Linked DNA regions of Daphnia pulex. The protein of the gene in region 1 interacts with the protein of each later gene in a biochemical or structural test. Links are inferred from orthologs where the notes say so. Each region holds a gene or a part of one and is shown on either strand. Other genes may lie near its edges.

The links.
Region 2: the proteins of serine/threonine-protein kinase fused-like (region 1) and kinesin-like protein KIF7 form a complex in vitro, tested with the Drosophila melanogaster proteins (4 studies listed by BioGRID, with this or other methods). The link is inferred for Daphnia pulex from reciprocal best matches to the Drosophila melanogaster genes fu and cos.

The regions. Positions count from the first base shown.
Region 1 is NC_060025.1:6,992,283-6,996,795, forward strand, and holds the start of serine/threonine-protein kinase fused-like, read right to left. Parts: upstream 2,957-4,513; 5' UTR 2,437-2,956; coding exon 2,326-2,436; intron 2,262-2,325; coding exon 2,148-2,261; intron 2,074-2,147; coding exon 1,751-2,073; intron 1,684-1,750; coding exon 1,442-1,683; intron 1,368-1,441; coding exon 1,265-1,367; intron 1,196-1,264; coding exon 1,070-1,195; intron 994-1,069; coding exon 714-993; intron 647-713; coding exon 264-646; intron 151-263; coding exon 41-150; intron 1-40. Other genes in the region: E3 ubiquitin-protein ligase lubel-like, read left to right, coding at 4,197-4,202, 4,382-4,513. UniProt on the Drosophila melanogaster protein: Probable serine/threonine-protein kinase; maternally required for correct patterning in the posterior part of each embryonic metamere. May be involved in control of cell division during metamorphosis and ovarian development. May interact with costal-2.
Region 2 is NC_060028.1:3,201,393-3,204,255, reverse strand, and holds part of kinesin-like protein KIF7, read right to left. Parts: coding exon 2,739-2,863; intron 2,639-2,738; coding exon 2,469-2,638; intron 2,397-2,468; coding exon 2,089-2,396; intron 2,012-2,088; coding exon 1,806-2,011; intron 1,723-1,805; coding exon 1,472-1,722; intron 1,407-1,471; coding exon 1,230-1,406; intron 1,155-1,229; coding exon 1,026-1,154; intron 945-1,025; coding exon 807-944; intron 730-806; coding exon 181-729; 3' UTR 172-180; exon of another isoform or gene 47-171; intron 1-46. UniProt on the Drosophila melanogaster protein: Regulates cubitus interruptus (ci) processing by recruiting multiple kinases to promote its efficient phosphorylation.

The DNA.
Region 1 (4,513 bases):
TTCGTTTCCAGTTACACAAGAGCTCGCGATGAGTGATTACCTGCGGTCGTACTCAGGTGCACCAGACGGGCCATCAAACCCAGCAGCATTTCTAAGGACTGCAGATCGTCGGCCGTCAATTCGGCGTCCGTCTTTTTACTGTCGATGCTCCTGTTTTTGGGCACAACCCAAAAAAAAAAGAAAAATAGAAAACGAAATGAAATCACATGGGAGAATGAGAAATGGAATTTAGACTGTGACAAATAAACAAAAAGAGGAGTTACCCGGTGCTACGGTTATCGCCAGATCTTCTCTGAACCATTACTTTGCAAGCGTACAAGAGATTGGGCACGACGCGGGTGTCTGCGTAGGCGCGGACGATTAATTCTTCGTCGACTGATTCCTCGCGGTCGATTCCAGCCCAAGGCAGGGCCAGCAGAGTCGCTATACGTTCGACTAGGCTCGGGCTGGCGTTGACGTTGCGTAACGGAGCCACCACAACGGCGACGAGATCCCTCTGCTCCAGCGTCTGCGGATTCTCTATGGCGTCGGCCAGCGTTCCGTCAAGAAACTCTTCCCATTCGTCGTTTTCCAGAGATTTCGACAGCAACGAACCGGCGGCGGCGGTTGCGGCGGCCGCAACTTCGCCAGTTGTCGTTTCCTTGGCCTAGAATGAATCAATCATCATTTGGTCAATCCTTTCTTCTATGATAGGACTGCACATCGATTTTTACCTCCGTTTTGGGCTCGATGGAAGGTGAAACAGTTTCTTCGACAGTCGGCTGGTTGTTTGGCGGGTTGGGCACGGCTGGCTGAATGAGGGAGAAATGATGAGCGTTGGTGCCAGGATCGAGGGGATCGAAATCGGCCACATTTTGTTTGGTCGGCCATCTGGTCGTTTCTAAAATTCTTTCCAGCAATTGCTGCCTCTCACTGATCCGTGGATCGATGGCAGGCGGTAAACGGTGGGTGTCGACGGCTGCACTTTGGCGACGCGTCCAGTCTCCAAATGCACTATTCGACCAAAATGATAAAGTTTTAAATTTAAAAAAAAACGCGACTTTTAGAAATTCTGTTTAAAGTGACGTACGGATTGTATTGGGTGCTGTGGAAGGCGGCGGCGGGATGGGCCAGCAATTGTTTGGGCTGAGAAACTGGAGCGCTATTTCGGCGTCGTTCGTACTCTTCTAATCTCTGAAGGGCTCGCGTGAAAACCCTTGTAAAAGAACAACCAATAAATTTCAGTTAAAGGATTGGATAAAATAATCAGCACGACAATGTTCACTTGTTTTTGAACGGCATCTTTTGGGAGAGATCTTGTCTTTGAATCTCTTTGGCCAGTTCCTGCGAAGCCGTCAAGGCAGTCGTTAAGGGAAGCTGAGGTCTCACTAGAGAGAAGGTAAAGAGGGAATCAGTGAAATTTGTTACCTTTACCAGAAAAGGAACATTGTATTGAACATACGTCTTTCAGGTGGGAGCAGAACTTTGTTCTCCAGGAAAGGATGCTCGAGCAAGTGAGGCCAAGTTAGCCTGCGGCGAGGATCTTTCTCCAAGAGACCTTGAAGGAGGTTGAAACAATCTGGGCTCAGATTTGTGGGCCAAGGCACGGTTTCGTAACGAATTTTTCGTATTAGTTGCAATAAAGATGTGGTGCAAAAGGGTGGCGATCCAAAAAGGAGCTCATACAAAATGCAACCTAAGGACCTGTTGTAAAAATGAAGGGTAAATCAACAAATCTTTGAAGAGACAATATCTGCAATAAAAAATGTACCATAAATCTGCATTATGATCGTATGGCTTTTCCTCTATGATTTCTGGGGCCATGTACAATGGAGTTCCTTTGACAGATGTTAGCACATAAGTGTTGAGGTCCATGGATCTTGCAAATCCAAAATCGCAAAGTTTAATGATGCCATCACTTGTCAGCAGTATATTCTGAGGTTTGATGTCACGGTGTAATATCCTGTCTGAATGAAGGTAGTAGAGAGCAGATAGCAACTGGCAAGCAACCATTCGCATTTTGTCTTCACAGAGTGTCCCATCTTCCAGTAGTTTGTACAAGTCACTTTCAACATACTCAGTGACAACAACTAGCTGGATGGAGAAATAAATCGTTAATAATCAACACACAAAACTACAACAAATAAATTGTGAAATTTCTTGATTACCTCTTTAAATGTCTCAAAGGCACCAAGCATGTGAACAATGTTTGGGTGACGCAAGCCTTTCTGGATTTCAAACTCGTGTCTCAAGCTTTGCAGCTCACATTCTGTCCTACCAATCTACAAACGCAAAGTATAGAATTTGTTACAATGAAATGGAAAGGAATTTATTTATAACACTTACTTTTGGAATAAACTTGAGAGCAACCAAACCTCTCAAGTGTCTATGTCTTGCTTTGTAAACTCTTCCAAAAGATCCTTCTCCAATTTTTTCTAATACCTCATAGTCTTCCATTTCAACGCACTTTCAACTCGGATTTATTAGATAATTTGAATGTTAAGAAACCACAATAAAGCAGTGTCACTTCTTTTACCGCTGTTAAGAAATGGATATAATTGTAGTGATCATTACGATTCTTGGATTTTAATCAGAAATGAATTGTCTATAAACAAAAGAAGCCATCTAGCGAAGCTTAGACTAACAATATTCCCATGTAAATATCTGGATCAGAGATGGCGCTGTATTTTCGAATAAGGCCAACTGGCAAGGTGATGAAAATGATTCCCGAGCCAGATAGACATGATTAAATCTGACGAAGTGGTGAACATATAACACAGGGATAACAATGATATATTTATAAGAAAATTCCATAAGAGTATAAATAACTAAACAAGCCAGTGCGCTGTGCACTGGACCAAAAAGTGCAAAAGCCGCGAAAAGCAGTAAAAGAGACAGTACGCACGCGGTATGCTACACGCCCTACGAAGGTGGAAGATATATGGGCGTGAAGAGAATTTAAAAAAAAAAAAAAAAAAAAAACACACAACAAAGACCGGTAAAACAACCGGAAATGAATGTGTTGAAAATTTACGTTATTCCCATCACCGAGATGGTACAAATCTATCGATTCCCTATTTTTTTAAAAAACATATTTTATTTAGCTACAAGAGTGTAAAGATAAGAGTAAACAAAGAATTAAATATAGAAGATGAATAATTCCGGTAGGTATTTAATCAAGATTAAACTTTTGAAATGCTTTGCATGGACAAATGAGGTGTAGCTAATGATTTGGATATCGTTGTTGATAAATATTTGGTAGCAGAATAGTCTCTGACGACGGAGGTGGCTTCCTATAACCGTGGCAATGACGCGCCGGCAGTCAGAGTTGGAAACCTTGAATGCCAAGCTATTTTTGACTTTCTTCCAGAGGAATATATAAAGTTTAAATCCGTGACGTCTGAGAGAAAGGCCAGCTGCATTCAAACACGGCACACACAATAAGCGCGAGTGTTGATTTTGTTCCTGCGAAACTACATCTCGAGAACTCGGATGGGTTTTTGATTCGGTAAATTGACAAGGAAGTATTCAGTTCATTCAACTCTAGGCAATTGAAATAGTTGCATGCTCAGGCAAAAAAACAAACTTGTTATTATTTACGATACGTTAATCTAGTAAAAACTTTATTTATTTTGTTTCATATTTTCTGATAGTTTACTGTAATCTACTGAACGATTACTAGCTATTATAGTACACCTCAGTTGATAAAACTTTTTTTTTTTTGTTTGCACGGGTGTTTACATGATGTTATTTACCATTAAAATCCCGTTGGCTACACCTTCCGAATGCCTTCCAATGAAGGCCAAATCTATTCATGCATGTCTAGATTGATTCTCACTGACGCGCTGGCGGTGTCTCACGGGGGAGAACTGCCCCGGTACAGGGAAGATACGACCAGCAGGACGAGCTCGACGATATTTTTGGGATTTTGCTTTTTGTCAGGGGGTGCCGTGTGAATCGCTGGCAGATTGCCGACAATTCCAGCGGCCCATTCCTATCCTGTTTGTCGCACTGCTTTGCTCTTTGGTGTCTATTCCGGCGGGGCGAACGGACATCATCATCGCACAGTGCGGCGTGCGGTCCGCCTTTTCCATCTCTCCGGGAGTTTATATACGATTTTTCAGTCGATTTTTGAGTGTGGGGATCGTTTTATCCGTTTCCGCAATTGGCTATCTCGTGTCGAATCTATCCCATGTCTCCTGTGAGTGTCAAATGAAATGAGGGTACGTCAACGCTATTATTTACTACTTCAGACCACCAGCATCAGTTATACTTTTGATTGCGATGCGAAACAACTAAACCAATTCTTTGCAATCAATTTTGTGTCAGTTTTTATGGGGGAAGTTGGTGTTGGTTAATTTTTTGAAATTAATTTTGTTTCTATGCTGTGGGAATTATTTAGCAAATTACGCCGGCTAGTTCCGAAAATAAATCTGCATCTGCTACCAACGACGCTGCATCTGCTGAACCACCTCCATTACCCACAACCCAACCACCGCCCTTGGAGGACGAATACGAAGACATAGAATACGGG
Region 2 (2,863 bases), on another chromosome or scaffold:
ACCAAAGCTTTCTCCCCCCGCCATTGATTCGTCAACCATCAGATTCAACATTTTCATTCACGTTTAATCGTCGAAAACTCGCACCTGTTTTCCAGTCAAAATTCATGAAAACAAATTTGGAAGACCAACGGACAAATGGTTATTACATTTGGCTGAAAAAGCAAAGCAAACCGAAATAAATCAGCGATGGCGGCGTTTGGTATCTCTCGTTTCGGGTTGGACCGTCTGCTGTTTGATAATGAGTTTGTTCTTCTCTCGCGTTACGGTCGTCGTCGTTTCCGGCGCCGTCTGTCGACCCCGCATGCGGTGCAGCCCTGTAATCTTCTGATGCAAGGCCTGGACAGCTTGAAGACCCAACAGACTAGGAGTGCGACTGCTGCAAGCACTTGGCGCCAGCTCAGAAGTAACGGGCACCACACCTGAGACGGTGTTGCTATTGCCTCCCGTTCGATGTTTGGGCGTGACGCTCAAGAGGTCACGCAGCTGCCTTCGCAAGTCGCGGCTGTTTTGGTACTCGGACTCGTCGTCCAGATGACTCAACTTCCCGTCGCCGTCGTAGCCGCCGCCGCCGCAGACGCTCGAATCCTGGTCGAGTTGCCTTTGAACCGTGGTGGCTTTGGGCTCGTAATGTCGCTGGTGCGACGGCTGCCGCCTCTCCATTTCCAGCTGCGTGTGCTTCAACGCCGCCGATAATTTGCGGACGTAACGACTTTGATCCTCGAATTGAGCCTGAAAAACAAAAATATCACGAAGGGAAATGTAATTTAAGGAAAAAAAGATGAAATATAATAAATCAGCCGTCGTACTTCCAATTCCGCAAACTGCTGTTCCATCTTCTTTGAGCCTTCCCGCAAATCAATCACTTTTTGAAAATATTTACAAAGGAGAGAGCGTGTTTCAGTGTGCGTTAAACTCATGAGTCTACACAGCAATCCGTCCTCCGTCTGCCAAAGGAAATAAATATGTATGAGCATGTAAAGTGGCTCGTGACTTGATAATGTGTTTTTTTTTCTTCCGACACTCACCGAGCTTTTCAATTCGTAATGTCGACTGCAAATAACTTCATTCTTGTACTCGATCGCTGCGTCAACAGCTTCAATGGCTTCGTCCAACTCGAGCATGCGGCGTTCCTCGCTGGCATCCAAGTCGCGCCCCTATTTTTTCGTGAAAATTAAAACAGGATGAGAATTTGGCATTCATCATATTACAATTCGGGACTGGACTTTTACCCTGTGCTGCCTTTCGTCGAGTTCTTGCCGTTGTTGAACCAAAGAGTCTCTCGTGTGTCTCATTTTACGAATCTCTTTGCGAATGGCCTCCTTGTCAGTGGGATTATCATTTCCGGATATCGACTGTAGGTCGGACAGCTTATATTTAAGAAACGAACTGCCTGATGTTTGAACGATCTAAATTTGATGGAAGAAAAGGGTTAGAATTGTTACGCAAGATGTGTAATTAGTAGAACAATTACTTTATCATTTGACTCCATATCTTTTTTCCGCTTGCTTCCTACATCGCCGATGGAACTTGTGTGGCTCTTTTCGGTTTCGCTTTGATTTTTCGATTTGTCAAGGGCTATTTCCCTTTTTTCCAGTATACTCTGCTTCTCTTCTAGTTCTTCGGAGCGCCACGTTATGGCTGTACGCAGTTCGACCAAACGTTCCTCCTCTGCTACCAGCCAGCGCCACTTGTGCTCCAATTCAGATTCACCAGGTGTGCCGTCTGCGAGTCCAAACAAAAGAAAATTGCCGTGTTATTATATAATATGGGCGAATATTAGATTATTATTATTTTTTTAAATCTACCTTTATCACTGCAAAGTTCAAGGAAACGCATTTCGGAACTAACTCGTTGTTCCTGTAGCTGACGTTCAAGTTCAACTATACGCACATGATCCTTTTCTATTTCTTGTTTCAACTCTTTTTTCTTCTCGTTCTCTTGACGAAGCTGCTCCTTTAGAACCGATTGCTGGTCCTTCATAATGGACAGACTTCGCTCCAGTTCGCCAACTCTAAAATGGGAATAAATAAAGTACCATTAGTTGAGTCAAACGATCCATAGAATTTCACAAATGTAAAATGCAATTACTTCCGAGGAGCCCGCGCAGTTAGATCTAGCAACTCTGCCATGTTTTTTAAACAGTGTTCAAAGCGTATAATCTCAGCCCGCTGTTGGCCGATTGTTCGTTCACCGTCAGTGACGTTGTCGCTTTCTTGTTCGATGGGACTGCTGCATTCATCACTGTTGTCTTCTGACTGTTTCCTATGGCGGGGTGGAATATTTAGATCGGATTGATGAGGGACCCTATCCTGCTTAAGCGATTTCTGAATTTTCTCCTGGTGAGTTTTTGTCTGTTCGTTTTCTTTGCTGTCACGAGTAAAATCCACATATTCCTCCTTTAAAAAGAAAATAATAATAAAGATAGTTAAAAATTACTGGGGAGATCAACGTCAGATCGGCAAGCTAACCTTCAAAGAAACTGTCCGTTTGAGCTCCTCAAGGGTTTGGTGAGCTTTTTTAAGTTGTTTGTTCGTTTTCCATGTAAGGAGTTGTCGTTTTTCTGAAATCTCAGCAGAATGTCGCATTTCTCGACATGCATCGTCTTCCGCATCGCCTCCGACTTTCAGGCTCCCTTCAACTGCCAAGAAGCAACAAAGATGTTTAGTGTTTAAAAAAATATAAGATATCATCGACTATAGGTTGAAAATTCAAAACTGATTCAACTACTTAGTACTTACTTGGATGATTAGATGATGATTCATTATTTACAGATTCTGGAGTTGATAAACGAGTTTCACCTATTAGAGGCTGTTGGTCTACTGCATTTGAAAGACCGAATATACTAACTCTTCGACCAGTTCTT